Caenorhabditis elegans: one gene and its partners. The protein of the gene in region 2 purifies or fractionates together with the protein of the main gene of each other region. This does not show direct contact. Each region holds a gene or a part of one and is shown on either strand. Other genes may lie near its edges.

Region 1 (8,617 bases), 910 kb from region 2:
CCGCATTGCTCAGGTTACTTGACAGCTGCTCTCTCTCAGAGTTGACATGATTTGAATATGCGCAAAGGGCGAAATTGGACGATTTTAATCAAGAAAATACGGTACATGGTCTCGACACGACAGAATATATTTAAATTATAAATTCTGTGCGCCTTTAATTGCAAATTTCATCGATACGAGACCATTACCGTATTTTCGTGCCAGACATCGAAAATTTCCGCTTTTGCGTTACAGAATTCTAATTGAAATCAATTTTTGGTAAAATTGAAAACTAGTTGTTTTCTATTTTATTTTTTTAGCTTCCAAAATAAAAAATTTAATTTTTTTTTAATTTTCAGATCGACGTAATCCTCACCACATACAACATGGTAACCTCAAAATCGGACGACAAAAAATTCTTCAAAAACTTTTCTCTAAACTATGTGATCTACGATGAAGGTCACATGTTGAAGAATTGCGATTCCGAACGTTATAGAGGATTGATGAAAGTTAAAGGAAAAAAGAAGATTCTATTAACAGGAACTCCTTTACAAAATAATCTCATTGAGCTGATCTCTTTGATGTATTTTGTGTTATCAAAAGTATTCAATAAGTATTGTGAAGATATTACTCATCTTCTTCAACATTTCAAACAACTCGGCCCAGCACTTGACACGAAAAATAAGGCATTGTATCAACAGGATAGAATTGAAGAGGCCAAGGCAATCCTACAACCGTATATTCTCAGAAGACTTAAGAATCAAGTGCTCGGAAGTTTGCCGTCGAAATCTGAACAGATTATTGAGGTGGAGATGAAGAAACCGCAGAAGCAACTCTATGATAATATTGTTGAAGCGTGAGTTTTTGATTTTTTAAAAATTGCTATAACACGAATCAAATTTAAAAAAAAATTGAAATTTTCAACGAAAAAAATCGATTTTTCAGTTTTTTCAGAAAAATCTAAAAGCTTTTTCTAAAGTTTGTACTTTTGAATTATCGAGAATATATCGACTTTAATTTAAGTTTTTCACAAGTTGTGAAATTTAATTTTTCCTCTGAAAAATGGGAAAAGCTATAGTTTCTCGAGAGATTCTTGAAAAGTTTATAGATTTTTTCACTTCAAATTTTTCGGGGAACCAGTTCAATTTTTATAATTTATTCTATAAGTCATTTCTCTAATAAAAAATATTTATTTCTGTTATTTCTCATCAAAAACAGTATATATCATGAATTTTTGAAAAAATTCAAAGTTTTTTGAGCGATTTTTTTCTAAAAAAAATCACCGAAAAAGCGAAATATGTTTGACTAAAATTTAAAATCTCAGTTTGCTGAGTTTGCAAAATGTATAGCTTCACCCTGTTTAAAGTTACAGAAAAACATTACTATACAAATTGAATTTTTTGCTGCAAAAACTGACTTAAATTCCAAAATGTTGGAATATTTCAGAATTATTGCTTTTTATGAAAAAAAAAAACATTGAAAATTCAATTATTTGTAACAATTTTAGCTTGACGTTTTTTTTTCTCTTTGAAAAAATTTGTTTAATACTATCTTTTCTTCTCCCTAAATACTTCAAATACAATTTTTTTTTCGGTTTTTCGGTTCTAAAAAACCTTTAAAAAACTTTAAAAAAAAAGTATTTTAAAAATGCCAAAAAACAAAAAAATCCATATTTCCAGACTCCAACAATCTGAAGAGTCTGGCGACTCATACGGATCCCTAATGCGTCTCCGTCAAGCAGCCAATCATCCATTACTCCGACGTTCCGAATACACTGATCAAAAACTCGATAAGATAGCCAAAATGCTGTGCCTCAGAGAAAAAGCCTACGCTGACAAGAAGTGGCAGCACGTGTCAGAAGATCTCGCCTGGTTATCCGATATTAAGATCCATCAACTGTGTGAACGATTCCGATGTACGAGTAAATTCCTGCTCAATGAGCAACTTGCACTGAAAAGTGGGAAATGTGAGCAGTTGGATGTGATGCTCCCCGAGATTCAGAAAAAAGGAGATAAAGTGTTAATATTCTCACAGTTTACATCAATGTTGGATATTCTAGAGGTTTATCTCAATATTCGTGGATATTCATATAAAAGACTCGACGGACAGACTCCTGTACTTGATCGTCAGGAAATGATTAATGAATTCAATCTTTCAAAGGATCTATTCGTATTCCTACTCTCCACAAGAGCCGGTGGACTTGGAATTAATCTCACATCGGCTAATCATATCATCATTCATGATATTGATTTCAACCCGTATAACGATAAACAGGCAGAGGACAGATGTCATCGTATGGGACAGGAAAAGCCTGTGCATGTCACTCGGCTTGTGAGTAAGGGTACTGTAGAAGTTGGAATGTTGGCGTTGGCGAAGAAGAAGTTGCAATTGGAGAAACAGGTTACCGATGGTGTCAAGGGACAGTTGGATGAAGGTAGAGAATTGGTGGAAAAAGCTGGAAATCGCTCAGTTTTGACCTAGAGATTGAGAATTTCAATGTTTTGGGTCGAAAAAGTTCGAAATTTTACAAAATTTTTAAACGAAACTATTATAAGCTTTCAGTGAAAATTCGAAATTTGTGTCAAAAAATTGTTCAAATATTGTAAAATGCAACGTTTTTCAGATAAATGCCCCATTTCTCAGAAACTGTCCTAAAAATTAAGAATTTCAAACATTTTTTTCGTGTAGAAAGTTCAAATTTTTAAGTTTATATAATCTATGATAAACTTTACAGTGAAAATTTTGAATTTCTGTCAGAAAATTCTTCAAAAATGGTAAAATCAACATTTTTTCCCGAAAAATGCTCGATTTTTACGTAAAAAGCAAAAAAATTTAAATTTTAGTACATTTCATTGAAAACTTTAAGTTTTTGTTAGAAGAAATCGAAATTTACCGAAAATTTCGAAAATTCGACCTTTTCAAAAGTCCAAATATTCCAGAAATTCAAAAAAAAAAATCAAAGAACTCTGATTTTTTTACAGGAAAAAAATGTGATTAAATTCAAATTTTTGAAATTTCTGTCATTGAAAATTACGTTTTTTTTTTAAATTATTGAAACTAAAATAATTGCAAATTTTCGTTTTTTGCCAGAAAATTCAATTCCCATTCATAAAAAATGCTGAAATTTTGAGATTTTTCGGTCAAAAATGCGATTTTTTTAAACAAAAATTTATCAAAAATAACATAAAAATTTTCCAGACGCCCTCCGTGAGCTGAAAGAAGAAGAAGGCGGTGAACAATGCGGTGGCCGTGATCTAAGTAAACTTCTTTCATCGGCGATCAGTGGACGATATGATGACGTGGAAGATGATTCTGGAGATTCGAAAAATGGAATTGATGCTGAAGAAGCAGCTAAAAAAGAAGATGAAGCTGTGAAAGAGCCTGTCGAAAAAGAGCAGCAAAAAGAGGAAGAATCTCAACCTTCTACATCTGCTTAATCACTTTTTTCCCGTTCATTTTCACCCAAAAATGGTCAAAATCCTCATAAATTCACGGAAAAGCGGGGACAAAATCGGATTTAGTCAGATTTTATCGATTTTCAGCCAATTTTTCCAGGTTTTTGACCCCCATTTTCATTAATTTTACTTTTTTTTCCAAATTTCAATTACTAGTGATCTCCATCCATCATCCCATCTGCAAAACACTTTAAACGTTGGTTCTCAATTGTTTCTTTTTTCAAAATTTCAATTTTTATATATTTATTTTCATCCATATATATTTTTTTCTGTAATTCCTACATTTCAAAAAAAATCTCATCATTTTTATCCCAAAATATTCTTTGTAAAACAATTGTTTTCTGTCCAGTATTGCATATTCCGTTTTTTTTTGTGAAAAATTATTGGCACCTTAATTTTAAAATTTTTATTTTATTTTTTAACTTATTCAGACGGAAATTGCTTCTTTTTTGGTGTATTCAATGAATATGGTGATTTTTTTCGCACTTTTCAATTTTTATTTATTTTATGCGTTTTGTCGCAATTTTTATCTATTTTTTGCTTTAATATTAATTTTTAAAAATTCAGCCGAAAAATTTCAATTTTTCCTGGAAAAATCAAATTGTTAGCTGTATTTTTTTTATTTTTTCGTTTAAAAACTCATATTTCCAGGTTAAAAACTGAAAACTAGTATTTATTTTTTCAAAATTGAAGATGTTGATTTTTTTTTGTTCTTTTGCTCAAAAACTAACATTTTTAGTGATTTTTAATTGAAAAAGTATTTTTCCAGTTAAAAATTCCCATTTTCACTCTTCTACATTGAAAAAAAAATCAAATTTTTGCAGATGGGAAAGCTCGAGGACATTTGCGACCAGTATTTGAGCAGAAAAAAGGAACAGGACAAGGTTGGTAATCTTGAAATAAATTTTTGATCGAATTCCGAATTTGAACATTTGAATTTCCCGGCAAATTATTACTGAGAGTTTTTTGCTCAATTAAAAATTTTTTATGAACCTAAAAATTTCAAATTTCCGTGGCGAAACCTAAAAAAATCCTATAATTTTAAATTTCCAGGTAATCGAAGCAGTCGAAAGATGTCTGAAGAAAGGATATGACTACGAAAAGCTCAAGGATCGAGTTCAAGAAGCAATCTCCGACCCACAAAAGGCGCGAAAAGTGATCTCCGCCGTTTGCGATCATTATCCACAGCTACGGAAACGAACTCGCACAGATCGAGACGGAGAGGATCGTGATCGGAAACGAGATCGGACGGATGATCGGAGAAAGCCGGATGCTTCAGTTCCAGCAGCAGTAGCAGAACCTCAAAAGCCTGCAGAGCAAAGTATTGAAGAACGACTCCGAGCAAAGGAAATGATGTACAAGGCTCAGCAGGAGATTGAGGAGACGAAGAGAAAAATGGCAATTGCAGCTGGAACACTTCAACCAAAAGCCGCATTGGCTCAGGCAAAGACACAAATGGTGGCTCCCGGTGGAAAATCTTTATCGCTTGGAAGAGATGAAGCTACAATGCTTATGACACATTCAATGGATAAGAAAAGTCGAATGGAAGAGTTGAAAGCGAGGCTCGCAAGAACTACAGTAATGGCAAAGATTGATGCGATGGTTGGAAATTCGGGAGCCGGAGTGATGGCTCCATTGCCAGAAGCTGTTCAGCAAGCAGAGAAGAAGGTTCAACAACAGATCACAAAAGAATCAAAAGAACCGGAGAAACTCATCGAGTATCTGGATCCACGGATTCAGGCGAGAACTGCAGATCGACGTCGCCGGGGGTTCAATTTCCATGAGAAGGGAGAATTCGAGAAACTTGCGAATAAGCAAAGAGCAATGGCAAAGCTCGAAAGGCTTCAGAATGAGGTCTCATCGGCTGCACAATCGACGGGAATCTCATCGGCTGTGAAACTTGCGATGGTTACACCAACGGGCACGGCGAAAATGGAGAATGGGGTACCGGATATTGAGTGGTGGGATATGTTGGTGTTGGATAAGGTTAAGTGAGTACTTTTTTTTTTTTGATTTTTGGGATGGTTTGGAACGAAAAATTGGAAAAAATAGGCTACTTTTATTTAAAAATTGAACGTAAAGCAGGGGTCAACGGCAATCGATTTTTCCGGCAAATTGTCGGAATTTAAAAATTCCGGTAAATGGGCAAATTGTCAATTTGCCGGAATTGAAATTTCCGGCAAATCGCCAAATTGCCGGAATTGAAAATTTCCGGCAAATCGGTAAACTCGCAATTTGCCGATTCGAATTTGTCGACAAAAAAAATTGGTCGAACGGCAATTGCCGGTTTGTCGATTTTGCCAGTTTGCCGGTTTGCCGACCCCGGCGTAAATTTATATAAATAATTAAATTTTAAATATTTTGCTTCAGAGCTTGGTTCAGAGCAAGAAATTGTGAAGATTAGCCCCAAAATTTGGGTTTTTTGAAATTTATAGCGAACAAAATTCGTGTCAAAAATTTAGTTTTTTTTTTTGCCAAAAAGCGCAAATTTTAATTACAAAATTAGCGAAAAAACAAAAAAAAGGTAAAAATTGAACTTGAAATTTTTTTTCACAAAAAGTTTTTTTATAGCTGCAGCTACAAATAAAAATTTTTTTTCGAAATTTCAAATTTCAAGTTATATTTTTACCATTTTTTTCTTGCTTTTTCGTTAAAAGTGGCGAAAAATACTCAATTTTTACTGGATTTTTTTTTTCCAATTTTTGAATAAATAATTTCCAAAAATTGGCCGCCTTTCTGGACGTTTTTTTACCAAAAAAAAAAAAGAAAATTAATTTATTTCAAGAGTTTATTAACAATTTTTAACTTAGAAAACCTCAAAAATAAAATTTTTTGCAGCTACGACGAAATCCCTGCGGAAAACGACATGGAAAGATACTCACAGACAGTTTCCGAACTCGTAGAGCACCCGATTTCAATGAGAGCACCCACTGAGCCATTAACTCAACAATATCTGAAAGTATACTTGACAACAAAAGAAAAAAAGAAGATTCGTCGTCAAAATCGTAAGGAAGTACTGAAAGAGAAGACAGAGAAGATTCGTTTGGGACTGGAAAAGGCTCCGGAGCCAAAAGTCAAAATTAGTAATTTAATGAGAGTTCTTGGAAATGAAGCAATCCAGGATCCGACGAAAATGGAAGCACAAGTTCGGAAACAAATGGCTGAAAGATTGAAGAAACATGAGACATTGAATGCTGAGAGAAAGCTTACCGAAGATCAGAAACGCGCGAAAAAGACGAAAAAACTGTCTGAGGATACGTCGACGGCGGTTAATGTTTCGGTTTATAGGTAATTTTACGTCGAACAATTTTTTTCACGAAAAATTTGAAATTCCCGCATTAAAATTTCATAGAAAATTTTAATTTCTCTCCAAAAATATTAAACAATTTATTTTTTAGTTTCTTCAAAAATTGGAAATTTTGGAGTTTTTAAAACTTTTTTTCAAATACTATTTTATTTTACTTAAACTATTTTACAATTACTGATTAATATTTAAAAACATTTTGAAATATTAAATTGAAAACTCGAAATTAATATTTAAAAGGATTTTTAAAAAATCGAAAATTCGAATTTTGAGGAAATTCGTTTTTTTCCTAAATTATGTGATGAAAATGAAAAAGTCTAGAAATTGGAAAAAAAATTATTTCATTTTTTTTCACAATTTTTATAGAATTTTATGCCAAAAAAATCCAAAAAAAAACGTCTGTAAAGCAAAAATTTAATTTTTTTTGCAGAGTAAAATCACTGGCCCATCCGTCGAAAAAGTTCAAAGTGGAGACAAATGCGAAACAATTACAAATGAGTGGAGCAATTATGATGCATAAAGCTCAAAATGTGATTGTTGTGGAAGGTGGTCCAAAACAACAGAAATTCTATAAAAATCTGATGATTAATCGAATCAAGTGGTCTGATGAGATTATTGGACAAAAGAAAGACGCTGAAAAAGATGCTCCCGGAGAAAGAAATCTATGTGAAATGGTAAAAAAAATTAGGAAATTTTTGATTTAACTTGTAGAAAATAGGAAAATTATTCTAAATTTTTACAGGATTTTTGAATAAATTTTGTGGAAATTTTTCATGAAATTTTTAATATTAAAACTTAAAAAAGTATACATTTTATAGAATTTTGAAAACAAATCAAATAAAAAAACTGAAAATTGAGTTGAAAAAATTAAAATTTCAATTTAGGAAGTTTGTTTAGCTGGAAATTTCTTTAGAAAATCCTTTTTTTAATAAATTTTTTTTCACCGAAAACCAAGTAGAAAAATCGCGAAATTTATGAAAATTGTGGAATTTTCAAAATTAAAAATTAAAAAAAATGAAATTTCGAAAACAATTTTTTAAAGTAGATTTTAGCTGAAAATCTTTTTTCAAAAATATTTTGAAAGTTAAAAAAATTAAAAATTTTCCAGATCTGGGAAGGACAAGTGAAGCGTCGAAATTTCCGTGATTTCACCGTTCACACGGCTACACTTGAGAAGCAGGCTCGCGAGTTTTTCGAAAAGCACGGAGTTGCACAATACTGGGATCTCTGTTACAGTACCACCGTTCTTTTGGAGGGACAAGACATTCTACCGACTGCTTAAATACACATCTCTGGAAAATTTTAATTCGTTTTTCTAAATATTTTTTTTTTGTTATTGGAGCCCGGAGAGCCCTGAGCCAAGGGACTGTAAATGAACATTATTTTATTTTAAAAAGATTTTTTTAGAATTTTAACACTTTTTGTTGTAATTTAGACCCATTTTGCATATTTTCCCGTAATTTTTATATTTATTTCCCACAGATTTCTCTGTTTAGAAACCCCCGCAAAATATGGAAGAAGTCGACGAGAAAATTGAGGAGGCGATTCGAGTGATGGAGGCGCAAATCAAGGCAAAACGGGCGATTTTAGAGGAGTCACTACGGGTGGTCACAGATCCCAAGCAGATGGAAAATTGCAGAAAACGACGGCAATATATCAAAGAAGTACGGAACATGAGGATTTTTATTTGAAAATTAACGGAGATTCAAAAAGATTCAAAAATTGATAAATTCCCGCCAAAATGTTTTCTGAGAAATTTAAATTCCCCGCCAAAAATTAGCCTGAAGCCATGCCCTTTATTGGTTAAAATTTTAAAAAAACATATCCAAAAAATCTAGTTGTTGAGAATTTTCTACGAAAAAAGGTTATTATTACACGT
Region 2 (8,617 bases):
GTTGTTGCCTGCGGAGTCGTTTCTCTTCTTGCTCTTTCTCCTCGTCGTGCTCTTTCTCGGCTTGTTTTATATGATCTTCGAAAACTGTGAGCGCATCTTCCTTGTCCATAACTGAAAAACAATTAAATTCGAATTTTATAAGAGTCAAAATATTTTACAATGCAGATCCTTTCTCTCCGCGAACTGAGGATTTTCATATAAAATTCGTTGTGCTTGAGCCCATGTAGTTTTGTAAGTTATTTGCTCCATACTCTGAAGAACGTGACTGAAAGCTGCAATGTCTCGTTTTCTGTCCTCTTCTTTTTTCTCCTTGTCCCTACGAGCCACGAAATCCTGGAAAAATTAACAATAACAATTCTCAAAAGCCTTAGAAACATACAATACAATCTCTAAAAATCTCTTTTCTATCCTCATCATTAACAGCAATCCAAAGTGGCTCCTTGCTGAATATATCGCTGGCTTTTTGGTATTTGAGGCTTTCTTTCATTTTTGGATGCTCTTGCAAGAATTTTTCCAAATCTTCTTTAGACTTTTTGATTGCCAGTCGTTTTTCATCCTGAAATTTAATAAATAATTATAAAAACTTTGCAAGCCGTGACTTTGCAGTCGTAAATATTCACAGAGAATAATCGCCCGCCGAAAACCGCGCCGCCGCCTTGCAAGGGGCGGAGTCGCCCCTCCCACCTTTCCGTGCGCAAATTCTTACTGCGTTTTCCGTTTTTAAAGTTAATTTCTTCTCTCCTTCTGCAAATTTCCAATCATTTTCAGGTCAAAATGGCTTCATTTATCACTCGTGCGGAACGTTCTGGTAATATTTTTTCGCGAGTCACTGGACTCATCCGTGCTGGTCAACTGAACTGGGCAGATCGTCCTTTGTGGTAAATTTTTACTCATTCAAGCGGATATCGTGATATAATTATCATTTCAGGTATGATGTGTACGTTTCATCTCCACCATTAACACCGCCAGATTGGAATGTAAAATTAGCAAAGTACGACGAACCAATTCGCTCTATTTTCTACGAGGAAGATGTTCTCAGAGCGTAAGTTTTGGTTATTTCAGGCGCTGACTATTTAAATTGTTTTCTCTATTCAGAAAGTTCTACAAGACATACAGAAGTACGGCTGGTATTCAAGTGGATAGCTCAAGAACAAGCGTCTCTCAGCAGTTCATCAACGAATATAAACTAGTCAAATCAGAAAATGCAGAGGCAACAGATGATCAGTTGTTCGAGATGACACAAAAACGTCTCAACGAGAATGGAATCGTTTTGAAATAAATGCTAAGTTATAGTTTGTAGTTGTTCATAAATTTGTTTTTCGTTTCAACTTACTCTTTCTTCTTTTCCTCTTTGAACTTTCCAAGCGTTAAATAATTGTTTCTTTTCTGAGACTTTGTTCAGAATTCTGAAACGAGGATCATTCTGGATCCATTTTACAGCCTGATCCCAATTGCAATTCGTTGTTATCTTTCCGTCATTATATTTGTCACGGAGCAGTTCACGGAATCGTTCTGACTGCCGTTTCTTCAATTCAACTTCATCGTTCACAGATTCTTCTTCTTTCTTTTCAGACGGAAGAGGTACATTTGGCATTGATGCGAGGGTAGCCTTCATGGCTTTGTCTAGATCGGATTCCGCCTTCTTTTGCTGAACAGCCGCTGCCAATGCGACAGTGTCCACAGTTGCAGCCTTTGCTGCTGGCTTCTGTTCTCCTTCTGAAATAAATAATTCAAATTGAAAGATTCTCTAGATAAAATCTTACTTGTAATTTCCTCTCCATCTGGTTTAACCCATTGCGTTTTCTTTGTAAGGGTATTATAATAATATGGTTTTCCGTCATCACTCATGAATTCTTTCCATTGACCTTGTTGTGGCTGTCCGCTAGTACTTCTCTGAAATCAGACTTCAAGAGCGCTGTAAACTATATTTTTCACTTACCTCGAGTGGAGTTTTTAAGACGTCTGGTTTTATCCATGACGTTTGTTTCGTTACACGATTATGATAATAAGGTGTACCCTTTTCATTCGTATGCACACTCCAATCAGATTCGACAGATGGGGATGAGTGGGATTCGTCTATGCCCATTCCAGGAGGTACCAGCATTGGTGAAGGCCTCGTCGGAGCTGCAACGTGCGGAGCAACTACAGAGTGGGTGGGCATTTGGAGGAGCGGAACTTGAGCGATAGATCCAACTGGTGGCATGCCAACTGAAAATGTTTGCATTAATATTAAATTATTTTATTAATTAATTGGCCAATTTTACAAATTTATGAAAAACTTGCATCTTTGGTTCAGGAGAACTTGTTGAATGTTAGCAGCCGCTACTAAATTGGGATTAAGAAATGAAAATCCATTGGGAAGCATTCTGAAAATTACTTGATTAAAAAGTGAAAACGAAAGAAACACCAAGGAAAATGTAGCATAAACAAAATTTGTGGAAAAATCGAAGAAAACTGAAACGCTGCGTGCCCCCTTTCGATGCAATCTATCGTCGGAAAATACGGTGGGGCGCACTTGCTTGCACCAGAAAAGCGCAATGAACGAGGATCGCGCCAACGTGATGATTGACGCATTCCTGGAGCAAAATTTTTACAATACACTTTGTTCCCAATTTCTCGTTTCCTATTGCATCAGATGTTTTTAATTTTTGATTCAGTGTCGGAAAATTAGAAAATGAGTATAAAAATAGGTGTTAATGATATTGCTTTCTGATATTTGTTCTCTGCTGCGCTCGTAAGTGCGATAGCATAGGATTTTTGTATATAATATCCTTTCCTTCTCCAAATCTGTAGTTTTTTTTAGTTCTTCTGCAACTTTCTCGGTACAAGTCTTCATGGCTGTTCCATTATCTATCCATTCGTTAATTGTGCTGTGCTCGCACAATTTTTCGAATTCCATGATTTGCGTCATAAATCCTTCATCGTTTAATATTTCGCTAATATAATTATGAAGATGAACTGATATTTAAATATTTTACAGATGACTTTGGGTTCCGAAACGAAAACTGATGTCGAAGTGCCGATCATCAATGGGAAGCACGAAATTCCTCAAGAGGAAAACGACTCAGGTCACTCGTCGATAAACACTCCAGACTCATCAGAACCAGGTGAGAAAAATCTAAAATTAGTTTTTTTTTATCCTTGAGTTTCAGATAAGCAAGTCGACAAGTTCGTGAAGATCACTATTCAACCATCTTGTGGAGACGCTTTCGAGCTACATGTCAGTTTTTTCTTTCCTGATTTTAGAATCCAGACATTTTTTCAGCTCAGCGACAATGAGTTGGTTCAAGAACTATACCAGACGCTGCTAGACCGTGAAGCTACTTGTCATAGAACTTGTTTCTCCTTGTATTTGAACGGAACAGCCGTAGACAACTACTCTGAAGTCCGTGCTATTCCGGGATTCGTTGATGGGTGCACCTTGAACGTGGTCGATGAGCCATACACCATTCGTGATGCTCGTCTCCACCTCCGCCAAGTCCGTGAATTACTCAAATTTGGACTTACTGAAGATCAGCACGAGCCCCCGTGTACCAATGATGCTCAATCATATTTGACAACAATCAATTTGCAACCAGAAGAAAAGAAAGAACCAAAACCTTCCGATATTCTTCCACCAGATCATGCTCTTCCAGGATGCAAAGAACGCTCCCTTGCTCATCTGCTTGTTCCACAACCAAAAGAGCTCATTGCCCTTAAAGATATCGCATTCTCTCCGTACAACCCTCCACCAGGACCTCGAAAGCTCAGAGGAGATGTCTTGTACATCGACATCACAACAGTTGAAAATCGCATCTACCATGTCACCTGTTGCACTAGAGGTTTTTATGTGAACAACTCACAAGATGGACGGTTCGATCCGACAGTATCGAATTCCAATAAGACTGTCTACCAAAGCGTCATTGAACTACTTCAAAATGTCAGTCCAGGATTCAAGAAAGTATATCCTCAAATTTTGAAGCGGCGTCAAGAAAAGACACTCGTTGAGCGACTTCCAACCAGTTACCCAGTTTCTTCATGGGTTGGAAATCCATTGAAAACTGATGGGTACATGAGTGACTCATTGAGAGCCATTGAATTGACAGAGCCGTTCCGGGTTGGATTTGAAGATCATATGCCAGGACTCCTTCGTGATTGGAATGAAGAGCTTCAGACTACTTTCGAGATGACCCGTAAATCCATTTCTGAGCGAGTAATCCGTGATCGAAGTTATTACAAAATTCATGCTGATTACGTAAATGCTGCTGCGAGAGGTGTTCAATCTATTCTTGATGGAAATATATTGGCTATAAACCCAGGAGAGGACAAGAAAACTCATATGTACATTTGGAACAATATCTTCTTCAGTCTCGGATTTGACGTCAGAGATCATTATAAGGAGCTTGGAGGAGACGCTGCTGCTTTTGCTGCTACATCGACCGATCTTCAAGGAGTGCGGGCATTTGCAACTCTTGATGATCCAAAACTCAACACTCTAGGAATGGCAATTTTCGATTATCGAGGATATCGTGTGACTGCACAATCCATCATACCAGGAATTTTGGAACGCGAGCAAGAACAATCTGTTGTGTATGGATCGATAGACTTTGGAAAAACTGTCGTCTCTGATGAAAAGTATCACGAACTGCTCGAGGATGCTGCTCACAAACTGAAAATGCTGCCTCACACCGTTATCAGCGAGAAAGACGGAGTTAAGGAAGAGTTGAAGCTTTATACAAGCTACGAAGCTAAGGGAATAATTGGAAACGATGGTAGAAAATACGTTTTGGACCTTCTTCGTTCAATGCCTCCAGATGTTCATTATCTCGATGACGCAGAGGTCTCTGAGGCCGCTAAAACACTGGGATATCCACGAAAATTCCCGCACAAGCTTTCGGCTCTCCGCCGTGAACTAATTGATGCGTTCTGTGAGTCTAGATTGGTCACTTTCATCCAGTTAACTGCAAAGAAGATCCGTGATCTGATTACCGAGTCAAAAGAGAAAAATGATGAAACTTTGATTAAGCAAGCAGGTAATCATTTCGTACAAAACTTTTCTTAATCAAATTATTTTTATTTTTCAGCCGAAGCAGAAACTGAACTATCACTACTCTTTATGGCCATCAGCGAAGATAAGGAGTTTGAAGCCAAAAACAAAGTCGTTCAAGATGCTATCAAGGAAGCTTGTGCAGTTGTTCATTCTATTTATGAAGATCGCTATGTTATGAAGTTCAATCCGGATTGTTTCTCATCAAATGTCAAACATGCACCAACAGAGAACCTTGAACGACAACGCCGTGTTGTTGTGGATGCCGCAGATTTCCTCCTTACCCAGAAGATTCCAGAGCTTGTTCAGAACTTGAAAGATTGCGTTGTGCAACCAATTGATGGAGATAATCTTGCTGACATTATGCACATCAATGGTATCAATATTCGCTATTTAGGAGAAATTGGAAAACGTCTTGAAAACAGCGTCTCATTTGCTCGTCCACTTGTTCTTTCGGATATCGTTGCTAGATCTGCAAAGCATGTCATCCGCAAGATCAATGTTCAAATTACTGCTGATCAACTCTCCGCAAGTACATCTCACATTCTCAACTGCCTATTCTCTGTAGTTTTGGATCCAAGCCCTATTGCTGCGAACGTTGCGAAGAAAGCCAATAAGAAGAACGGCAAGAAACGAGTTACATCTGCCTGGTCTTCGTTAACCACATCAGCACTTTGGAATAGTATCCGTGAAGATTCTGCCAGCTATTATGGATACCCGATTGAGGCCGACTCCCTTGAAAAGTTCACCGAATTGCATGATATCCAAAAAACTGCTCTTTTCCGCCGCATTTGCAAAGTCATGGGAGTTCAGCTCGTAGCAAGAGATTACCAATTGGATAACTCTACTGCAAAGAAAACATCAATTTTCGTTGAAGATGACATCATCAACTTCTTCCCAATCATCAAGCATCATGAACCATTCACTGCTGATGCTAAGAAAATGTTCATTCGTGGACAACAAGCGATGTCTATTGGTGCCTCCCGAGAAGCTTACGAGTGTATTGGCGAATCACTAAATCTCATGACACTTGTCTATGGTGTAATGCATCCAGATATGCCACAATGTTTGAGAGCTCTTGCAAGATTGTCCCACGTTCTTGGAGAAACTGGAGATGTAAGTGTCTTATCATTAGTTATTTTGGTTTTTAAAACAATTTAGCCGCATGAACACTGAATACATTGGAAATTGTAATATATAAAACCAATGCCGTATAATTTTCAGGCTTTGAACAACCAGCATAAGGCAGCGGTCATGAGCGAACGGTTGATTGGATTGGATGCAGGAAATACCATTATTGAATATGTAAGTACTATTAATAAAAAATCATCTGCATTAAATATGTTTTATCATCTTTGTTTTTCGATAAACTTGAAGAACAATGAGAACAAAATAAAGGGAATTTTTCTGCAATGACATTGAACATTTTTCAGATCAATTTGGCCCATTTCGCATTTGGAGCACTTCTCATTCCTGGATCTCTTCGTCCATTGTACCGTGCGAGATATCTCATGAATCTCGTATTTGGAGAGAAACATCCTGTAATGGCTCAAATTGATGCCAACATTGGACTCATTTTGTTCACTGTTCAAGAGTTCGACACAGCTTTGAAGTACTTGCAATCGGCTGATGCTATCACAAAAACTATTGGAGAACCGAGAAAGCTGAAGACTGGATTGATTTCCAATTTGATTGCCCGAACACATGCGGCTCGTGGAGATTTCCGAGCTGCTCTAGTTGCTGAAAAGGAAACATTCGCTATTTATTCCGAACTCTATGGACCAAATCACCCAAGAGTCAACGAATCGAGTGAATATCTTCGCACGCTTACTCAACAAGCTGTTACATTCCAAAAGAAAATGTTGAAACTTGACAATAGTACAAACATTACTGAATTGTTCCAGGTAATATTAAATTTTCACAATAGCAAAAAAATCGCAATATTTTTATAGGCTCAACCTCCAACAGTTACCTCTCTATTTGATACCTTAAACATCATCAACGGAATACTGATCATTGGTGTTCCTGGATTGTCTTCTCTCGGAAAACAGCAAAATGGGACGACTGAAGAGAGCAAGACTACAGATGTTGCTGCTCAGCTTGACAATGAGACTCTCGATTAGAATTGATTAGATATCACCCAATTTTTTGGAAGTTGTTTATCAAATTTCAAAAAATTTAGAATTACTTGTTCGTTGATTATTTTAGTTTTTAATAGTGTATAGCATATAGATCAGTTTTTGTTTCTTTTTGTTTTGTTTTTTTAGGTGTAGATATCAGTTTAGTAAATAACTTTTTTTTTGTTAGAAAACCGTGACCGCATTTTCGTTGCTTTTTTGAAATAATTATATGAGATAATTGCACCGTTTCTTTCTCTGATAACCAAAAACATTTGCTCAATTCCAAAAATCAGCCTGAAATTTTCAAATTTGCTCAGGAGCATTTCCCTCATTTCCCACAACTTAATCAATCACATGTTCCCGTTTTCATTGTCTTCTCCATCTATCTGTAACCCATTTCCTTCATACATGTTATGACTGTCGTTCTGACACGAGTGTCCATCGAAAAACTAATCATTTAAAAAATATACATCTCTGATAATCCGAGTACACTCCATCTTTTGTTACACTGATGCGTTTGTTCTCCTCGTTACCTGTTTTTTTGCCTTAGGATTCAAAGCCTTGTAGTTTAGTATGAATTTTCGTTTTTTTTTAAATTTTCCAATCAACTGTTATAAAATGTTTATTGTTTTGTTCTTTCTCCAATAATAAAATCTGAAAATCTATTTTTTGTTTCAGTTCTAAAATTTTCAGAAAACTTAAAGTTTCATTCTTTAAATATTTTGAAATATCTTGTGAACAAAAATATGAATTTGTTAATCAAGAGTATCGCTTTTTCCAATTTGTCAGAAAAAAAATATATAACTTCCATTATTTAAGAAAAAAAGTTGCAAAAACTGAAAATTGTGTCCATTTTATTTTTTTAGCAGTAGAAAATTATATTTTCTTGTTTTTGCATTTTTTTTGTTAAATGTTTTAAACCATAAAAAATTTTATCCGATTTTGTTCATGTTGATGAACAAAAAAATTATAAAAATGTAATTGTCCTCTAAAAATGAGAGACTTTAAAGCTTTTTCTCTCTTATAATTAAATTTGTTTTTCATAGAATGGCGAGTGATTGGAGACGACAATCAACGAGTAGAGGAATTCCGAATGAGGGACAAAATGATGAAAAAGGAAAACCGCTCATTGTGAGAGAATATTTAAAGTAAAAAAAACAAAATTATGAATTTCAGGGAAGATCATTTCTGCTCGAAATTGAAAATCGTATTCTACGAACAAACGTGGCAGAAGGATTACATATTTCTGGTGCTACAATAATTGATTCATTTGATGATGCTTCCCCACAATGTGTCATCTCCGATCACCCGATGGCTCAAAAATTAGAAAAAGCAAAGAAAGATGACCCTCTTTTTAAAAATGAAAAGGTACACTTTTACTGGTAAAATTAAAAATAAATAAATTAATCAAATTTCAGATGCTCAAAATAATGCCCGCACTTCTTCGACAAGCAGTGAACAGAAATATTAA
Region 3 (7,586 bases), 2.9 Mb from region 2:
ACCTAAAACTATTGTTTTTAACTAATTTTAGACAATTTTTGAGCTGTCATAACTTTTTTTAAAAGAAGTTTTCAAGAAGTTTCAAAGTGAAATTCAATGTTTTCAGACCGTTTCAATTTTAATACAGCAATAAAAAATTTCTTCTACACCAGAAGACGTGAGTTATGATGAAAATGAGTGAAATCCTGCTGAAAAGAACTAACAAATTTTGTACGCGTATATAGTCAATATGACTATAAAGTTGGCGGTGAAGAATATATATGTCAAATCCAAATTTTGTACTTTTTTCTGAATTTTTTTTCCTTTTTCCAAACTTCAAAAATGTTTTTTAAGCATTCAAAATCTTTGATAAAATGCAAGAAATTAACAATTTGAGAATTATGGACATCCGGCTTGTCCCCATTCCACAAAATTGATTCCAAAGTACCAGACATGATCTTCACCACTGTAGTCGAGGTTACGGTTGCTACAGTAGAGGCCATCAGCTTCTGCGCACAATTGGTAGGGTTGACCAATTGTCATGTTGTTGTTGTACCTGTAGAAAATACAGAATTTAGAGTAGATCAAGTTGGTTTTTTTTTGGCAAAAATATATTTTTTTGGTTTTTTTTGTTGAAAAAAATGGATTTTTTTTGGTTTTTTTGGAAAAATTGGGTGCACGGAACTCTGGCTTCCCTCATAAATTGAAATGGAAGAGTTTGCCGAACTAGGCCATTTTGGCTCGGCCATATCTGGGGTAGATTTGCGGCGCGTTGCGTGTCGCGTCGCGGCTTGATGGTAAAACTAAATGCATTTGTCCGTGTGGAGTACACGACTTTCCCACGCGTTGTCCGGCAGGCGATTGTCAATGGAGCGCGAGAAATTCAATGAGAAAGACCAGAACCGCGTGTTGGGTTTTTAGATTTTTTTTTTTGGCTATTTTGGTTTTTTGGTTTTTTGGTTTTTTGGTTTTTTGGTTTTTTGGTTTTTTAGTTGGCACATAGCGGCTTTTACTACTTGGCCGTGAAATATGAAAAACTCGGCCACCATCATAACATGGATACGGAGCAGTTGCTCATAAATCTCCACGATAGAACCATTCTCATCAAGTTTCAGAAACATCCGCCGTGGAACATCAAAGATAAAAAATTGACCGAGTTTATGCTTTTTTTAGGCCACGTAGCGAAAACCGCTCTGTCACGGGCTTCTGGCCATCCTAATTGCAGTTTTTGCGCTCTATTGGCTATCGTCTGCCGGACAGGGAAAGTCGTGTACTCCACACGGACAAATACATTTAATTTTACAACTAAAATCGAGCCGCGACGCGACACGCAACGCGCCGTAAATCTACCCCAGATATGGCCTAGTTCGGCAAACTCTTCCATTTCAATTTATGATATATCATTGGCAGAGTTTATGTTTTTTTCTAGGCCACGTAGCAAAAACCGCTGTGTTGGGAGAGGGAAAAAAATTCAGAAGATTGGAGAATTTAATTATGTCCAACATTTTTTTGGCGACATCCCTGGTCACCACCAATTCAAAACCACTAACCAAACTTCAGTTCTATGATGGAAAAGCTCGTCCTGTCCCTCCATTGGTGGAATATGTGCAGCAATATCTCTATGATGAACAATACGGAATGAATACGGGAACGTTGCGTCGTGCCACGTGGCAAACGCATAATCTCCGGTTCTTGGCTGTCCCAGTGTCACTAATTTGATTTTATCCGGGGTGAAAATCCCGATTTTCACAATATAAGAAGCTGCGATTGAGGCGATGGCACCACCCATCGAGTGTCCAGTAACCCAGATTTCATAGTCAGGGTATTGGTATTTGAGTTTTCGAAGATCTTGTTGAAGACCTCCATTCCATTGGAATAGGAAGGCATCGTAGAAATATTCGAATACACTTCCAGAGTCGAAGAACGCCTTTTTTCCGCTGAAAATGTGTGTTTGCAAATTTTTTGAGAACAATCTTTTATGTGGAGGGAAATTCAAATTTTCTGAGAAAACATTTTTTGCGAGAAATTTTTTTGAAAAATTGGAACGTCCTGTAACCTTTGGAAAATTCCAAAAATAATTGTTGAATGCTCAAGAACTTTTTTGAAAAATTCAAGAAAGTTGTGGAATTTGCTGGAACCTTTTAGAGAATTCGTGAAAATTTTGAATTTTGAATTTTACAAATAGTTCCAGGAACATTCAGCTTTTTTTGAGTCCGAAAACCGTGCAAAAAATTTTTTAATTTTTTCAATTTATTTTTGGTCGAAATTGTTTTGTGGTAAGCTGAGAAAAAAGGCAAAAAAATTTTTTTTTGGTTTTTTATAACATAAAAATGTGCAAAACTGTAGTCGTGAGAAGAAAAAATACAAAAATCCAATTAAACTTTAAATTGCCATTTCCCGAACTTACTGGAAGAAATCCAAAATTTCTTCAGACAATTGAGCTGCTCCTTCTGTCCCTCTAAACGTCATTGCAATCACTTTTTGGACAGTATCTATGGCCGTGAAGCTGAAGCACATTGCTTCTGAAAATTGGATTTTTTAGCGCCAGTGGGGAAATTTTAAAAAAATTTCAATAAAACTTAAAATAAATTTAATAAATTTAGTGAAATTTTTATTGGCAGTCAAAAATTGGCAATTATTGAGTTTTTGCCACTTTTTGAGAAAACTACAGACACGGGGTTCTGGCCTTCCTCATTGAATTTTTCGCGCTCCATTGACAATCGCCTGCCGGAAAGGGAAAGTCGTGTACTCCACACGGACCAATACATTTAGTTTTACAATCGAGCCGCGACGTGACACGCAACGCGCCGAGCCAAAATGGTCTAGTTCGGCAATCTCTTCCTTTTCAATTTATGAGGGAAGCCAGAAATCCGTGGGCTAATAAAACAACTCACTTGGCCCATATCTATCACAATTGACATTAACTGTTTTGGAAACTTTCATCGAAGGCATTTTACTACTGAAAGTATCGATTTTTAAGGTTTATCTAGAAGGTGAACCTACGTAAAACACTTTTGTGGGTCCATATTGTAGGCAGCAGAATGTGTGATCAATACCTTATTCCTCATAAATGAATCATCGTAAGCGTGGGCTTTATCTGGTAGTTCCGGGCAGTTTAGGGCTTTCTGTAACGTTTCTGATCGCCGAAATTTTTTTTTTTTATTGATTTTTGAAAAATGGAATTGGCGATCAAATGGGTAATTTTTTTTTCTTCAAAAAAACTCACTGTAATTGTAGTGACACATGGCGTAAATCCACATGCATTTACAGTAACACACCAGCTGAAAAAAGGTATATTACGAGAACATAAAATTCTGAAAATGCGTATTGCACACCATATTTGACGCGCAAAATATCTCGTAGCGAAAACTATGACTACTGTAGAGCTGGTGTCGATTTACGAGCTTGATTAAGAAAGTTGAGGCAGTAAATCGACATAGGCACTACAGTAGTCTTATTTAAAGAATTACTGTAGTTTTCGCTACGTGATATTTCATATTTTGCGCGTCAAATAAGCTGCGCAATACGAATTCTCAGAATTGTAAGCTTCCAACTCACTGTTTCCCCTGAGCCAAACAATCTGAGCACTTGTCGGCCGTTGCGAGACCCAAAATTATAAGAAACCCAATTAGCTTGAGCATTTTAACTGAAATATTTCATGTGAAAGTGTTAAAAATGAAACAAAAATTGATTCAACGAAGAAAATCAGGATTTTTCCATCATTTTTCCGGAAAAAGTGTAGTTAGTTTATCAATTTTCGAGCGAAGGTCGCTTTTTGGTCGTCCAAACCCCTTATCACCTGATTTTTTAGACTTTAATTTAGCATTAACTGTGTTTTATGATTTTGAAAATTTTGAAACTTATTTAACTGATTAAGAACAACTGAGAATGTTGTACAAACAGCGAAACTTTTTGAAATCGAGTTGCAAGCGCGCTCCCATGACGCTCCGCCCCTATAACTAGGGTCTCGATAGGTGTTGGCGGCAAAAGCGTAAATTTAATTTAATTCAAACGTTTTCTATAAATTTTTGCCGATTTCACGAATTTCTCGTTGTTTTTATCGATAATTGCCTAACAAGCCTTAACTTTTGGGGCTATAAACCGCAAATACCAGCTTTAACTCGTTCCAATCTTCAGTTTTATGTAGTATTTAAAATTAAATACAAATAATTAGTTATCACAATTCTCTCCGTGCTTTTCTTTGTTCTAAACTGCATTTTATTAAATTCAAAATTCCGCCTTTTTATGCAGGGGTACGGTTTACAAAGTCCGCAACTGTGCGTCACGGTGCTTGCGTACTCATCTTTTTTGAACGAATTTTCGAAATTATTTTTGTCGAGAAAATAGCCGATTTCTGCTCAAATTTGAAGTTTTTTGGCATTTTTTTTCGTTGAAATTTATGTAAAATGTGAAAAATTATGTTTTAAAGCCATAAATTGTAGTTTTTGAGCTTAAATAGCTGCTAAAATCGAGTTTTCTTGATATTTATCTTAAAAATTTGTGTCTTTCAAAAAATATATTGATTTTTACAGATCATCCCGCAAAAATGTCGACGAGAAAGCTCAACAAAGTGATGGTTCAGCCTGTGAACCTCATCTTCAGGTAATATTTTTTCACTAATCAGTAGAAAACAATTTCCCAAATTTCAGATATCTCCAAAACCGCACTCGGGTCCAAATCTGGTTGTACGAGGATGTCACCCACCGTCTCGAGGGCTACATCATCGGATTCGACGAGTTCATGAATGTCGTGTTCGACGAAGCCGAGGAGGTGAACATGAAGACGAAGGGACGCAACAAGATCGGCAGAATTCTTCTCAAAGGAGACAACATCACTCTCATCCACGCCGCCCAACAAGAAGCCTAAATCATCGTTCACTTTTCACGGATCTCTTTGTTCATTTTTCTGTCTCTGTTTCGCTTTCGCACCGTATTGTTCCAAGTTTTCAAGTTTTAATATGTCTTTAAAAAAAGTAAATTATTTTTGGCTTTTTTGGCACAAGTTCATTCACAGGACAAAGAGAGGGGGTGAGTGGATAAATATACAAAACAAAATATGGAAAATACGGCAAAATTAGGAAATAATAGTTGGTGGTGGCTGAGAGAAGAATCCATCGGGGAACACTTCAAACGCACCGCCCGTGGCATTCGGATCAATAGTCACATCCATCATGGGCATGCCATTCGAATTAATTGGTTGATAGTAGTATGTCGGTGCCATTGGTGCATACATTGGCTGGCTATTCATCAAATCATGTTGCTGTGGAATATATTGCACTGGAAAAGGAGCTCCTTGTTGAGCTTGCGGCGGTGGAGCCAAGAAATATGGCATTGGAAATGGCAGGAATTGTTGCTGATGTTGTGGATGATGATGGTAGTAGGCAATCGGCGGCGGACAATCGGAAGAAGGTGGCGCGTAAACCGTCGCATTCGCATTGAAATGTTGCATTTGTTCGACGTGAATGAAGCGGCATCTGAAAGGAAAATTTATTTTATTTATTTTTAATAAAAATTCCAGATTTCCTAGAACCTTGGACCATATCTGCAGTTTCCTCTCTCGAAATTGTGACAAATCTGACGACGATTCGAGCTTCCGTGGTTGTTGCTGGGTCTCCGATTCTGGAAGTAAAATATTGTAATATTTTCCCTAAATTTCACTTAAAAATAAGGATTTTTGCAACGTAAAACCTCAAAAATTCGCTGAAATTGACGATTTTTGTTCAAAATTTTGAAAAACAGGGTTAATTTTAGCTGAAAATCTTCAATTTTGCCAGAAATTGGCTTTTTTTCCGTCGCCACACGGAGAACTTGCCAAAAATGAAGACTTTTAGCCAATTTAGCCCTGAAAATTCGAGTTTTGGGCGATTTTTGGTCTGAGAAGCCGTTTTCGCAGTATATTATATTTTCTCGTTAAATTTCATTTTAAAATAAACATTTTGAACGTATAACCCCAAAAATTCGCTGCGCAATGGATGATTTTTGTCCAAAGTTTTGATAATTTTAGCTAAAAACCTCGAATTTTGGCAATTTTTCGTGCCGCATCGGCCGAAAGTTGACTTTTTTTGGAATTATCATAATTTAATGCACATTTTGGTAGTTTATCTCACATAATCTGTCTGCAGGCGGGAAAAATTTGAGATAAACTACTAAAAGATGCAAAACAAGGATGATAATTCCAGAAAATCAACTTCGGACCGTCTCGACACGGAAAATTGAGCGAAATTGGAGTTTTAAAATGATTTAGCCCTGAAAATTCGAGAAATTTAGGCGGTTTTGGGTCTGAAAAGGCGTTTTCGCAGTATTTTCTCGCTAAATTTCATTTATTATCACATAATATCAGTACTTAGGCGAATATCTTGTAGAAATGTTGGTTTTGTTCGATAATTCTCTACTTTTAGAGTCGATTCACGAGAAAATGTTGCACCATCTTACTTTTTTCCCTTGTAAAACATAGATTCTTCTGTACAATGAAAGAGAACACAATTTCTTCGTGAAGCAACTCAAAAAGTAGAGAAAATTCGAACAAAACCCAACATTTCTACAAGATATTCGTCTAAATAGTGATATAATGTGTTAATAAGCATATTTTAAATGAAATTTAGCGAAAAAACTGCGAAAATTTGTCAAAAAAGCGAATTTCCATCCGATCAGCACCTCATCATGATGCTTCGATGCTGAAGAACTCGATCGATTGATTGTTGTATCCACGTCGTCTCGTCTAGAACGAGAATCACGGCGCTCACGTGGTGGATCTCGGGAATAATACTCTTGGCGGCGTCTCTGAAAAAAAAATTTTCCAAAGATTTCCAGGCTTCAGACACACCGGAACTCTCAGCTCATCTTGTCCGTGAGCATATGTGCAATTGTCGTTGTACGGGCAGTATCCTTCACGGCGGAACGCATCACAAAGTCGCGTTTTGTATTCTGTGTGCTGGAAAAAAAATCGATTTTGCATATTTTTCAGTTTTTTTTTTAAATCAAAACCTTATCCTTCGCCGAGCTATGTCTTTTAGTTGCCGGCGCCTCGTCAATCTGAGCCAATGGAGTGATCTTGAGCGCTTCACGCTTTGGACGAAGCCATTTTCCACTATATCCGGACGACAGCGAATCATTGAATGATCGATTGATTTTCCGTTGATCTACTGAATTTTGAATTCTCGCCGGGCACGTCGCATTCAGAAGACTGTTCGATCGATCGGCAGCGAACGACGTGTCATCTGAGTTGTTGAGTGCAGCCATTTGCTCGGCAATCGGCTTTGTTTGAGCCATCTGGAAAAGAAAATTTGATTTTTAATTGTTTGGGAAACGAAATACTGCAAAAAGAAACCTAAAAAGTGATTGTAAAACTGAAAAAACGGCGAGAAATCCATTTTTGCCGCCGAATTTGGTTACGGTTGGTTTAAAGGCGCATGCCTAAAGTTTTATTTTCGTTGCGGGACTCACAGATTTTTAAAAACTTTTTCTTTATTTTTTGAAGATTTCTGTGTTTTTTCACTGATTATTTACAAACAAAGCTCAATTTTATGAAAGCTTTCAATGTTAAAAAATAAAATTATATTTAATTGAGAAGTGCTCCGTGCTGAATTTGGGGGCAAAAACTCAATTTAT

What was found.
Region 1: the proteins of prp-40 (region 2) and prp-3 fractionate together in Caenorhabditis elegans (co-fractionation; one large-scale study listed by BioGRID). This does not show direct contact.
Region 3: the proteins of prp-40 (region 2) and snr-6 fractionate together in Caenorhabditis elegans (co-fractionation; one large-scale study listed by BioGRID). This does not show direct contact.

The regions. Positions count from the first base shown.
Region 1 is NC_003281.10:10,423,624-10,432,240, reverse strand, and holds prp-3 (U4/U6 small nuclear ribonucleoprotein Prp3), read left to right. Parts: upstream 1-4,258; coding exon 4,259-4,318; intron 4,319-4,487; coding exon 4,488-5,425; intron 5,426-6,272; coding exon 6,273-6,722; intron 6,723-7,168; coding exon 7,169-7,412; intron 7,413-7,846; coding exon 7,847-8,020; 3' UTR 8,021-8,128; downstream 8,129-8,617. Other genes in the region: smrd-1 (SWI/SNF-related matrix-associated actin-dependent regulator of chromatin subfamily A containing DEAD/H box 1 homolog), read left to right, coding at 339-835, 1,659-2,413, 3,178-3,416; M03C11.6 (BBS2_C domain-containing protein), read left to right, coding at 8,250-8,402.
Region 2 is NC_003281.10:9,515,824-9,524,440, reverse strand, and holds the start of prp-40 (WW domain-containing protein ZK1098.1), read right to left. Parts: upstream 2,367-8,617; 5' UTR 2,366-2,366; coding exon 2,284-2,365; intron 2,209-2,283; coding exon 1,940-2,208; intron 1,894-1,939; coding exon 1,764-1,893; intron 1,717-1,763; coding exon 1,334-1,716; intron 1,321-1,333; exon of another isoform or gene 1,280-1,320; coding exon of another isoform or gene 1,096-1,279; intron 1,043-1,095; coding exon of another isoform or gene 929-1,042; intron 879-928; coding exon of another isoform or gene 775-878; exon of another isoform or gene 769-774; intron 557-768; coding exon 380-556; intron 334-379; coding exon 159-333; intron 112-158; coding exon 1-111. Other genes in the region: mrps-23 (Small ribosomal subunit protein mS23), read left to right, coding at 775-878, 929-1,042, 1,096-1,279; clu-1 (Clustered mitochondria protein homolog), read left to right, coding at 2,981-3,107, 3,153-3,220, 3,266-5,012, 5,064-6,142, 6,251-6,331, 6,460-6,930, 6,979-7,149; F55H2.7 (uncharacterized protein), read left to right, coding at 8,194-8,277, 8,323-8,514, 8,565-8,617.
Region 3 is NC_003281.10:12,426,554-12,434,139, reverse strand, and holds snr-6 (putative small nuclear ribonucleoprotein E), read left to right. Parts: upstream 1-4,510; 5' UTR 4,511-4,525; coding exon 4,526-4,581; intron 4,582-4,628; coding exon 4,629-4,845; 3' UTR 4,846-4,968; downstream 4,969-7,586. Other genes in the region: Y49E10.16 (Fungal lipase-type domain-containing protein), read right to left, coding at 379-535, 1,530-1,916, 2,387-2,501, 2,874-2,938, 2,983-3,104, 3,206-3,260, 3,538-3,620; pie-1 (Pharynx and intestine in excess protein 1), read right to left, coding at 5,053-5,452, 5,509-5,597, 6,633-6,758, 6,802-6,909, 6,963-7,247. UniProt on the Caenorhabditis elegans protein: Plays a role in pre-mRNA splicing as a core component of the spliceosomal U1, U2, U4 and U5 small nuclear ribonucleoproteins (snRNPs), the building blocks of the spliceosome.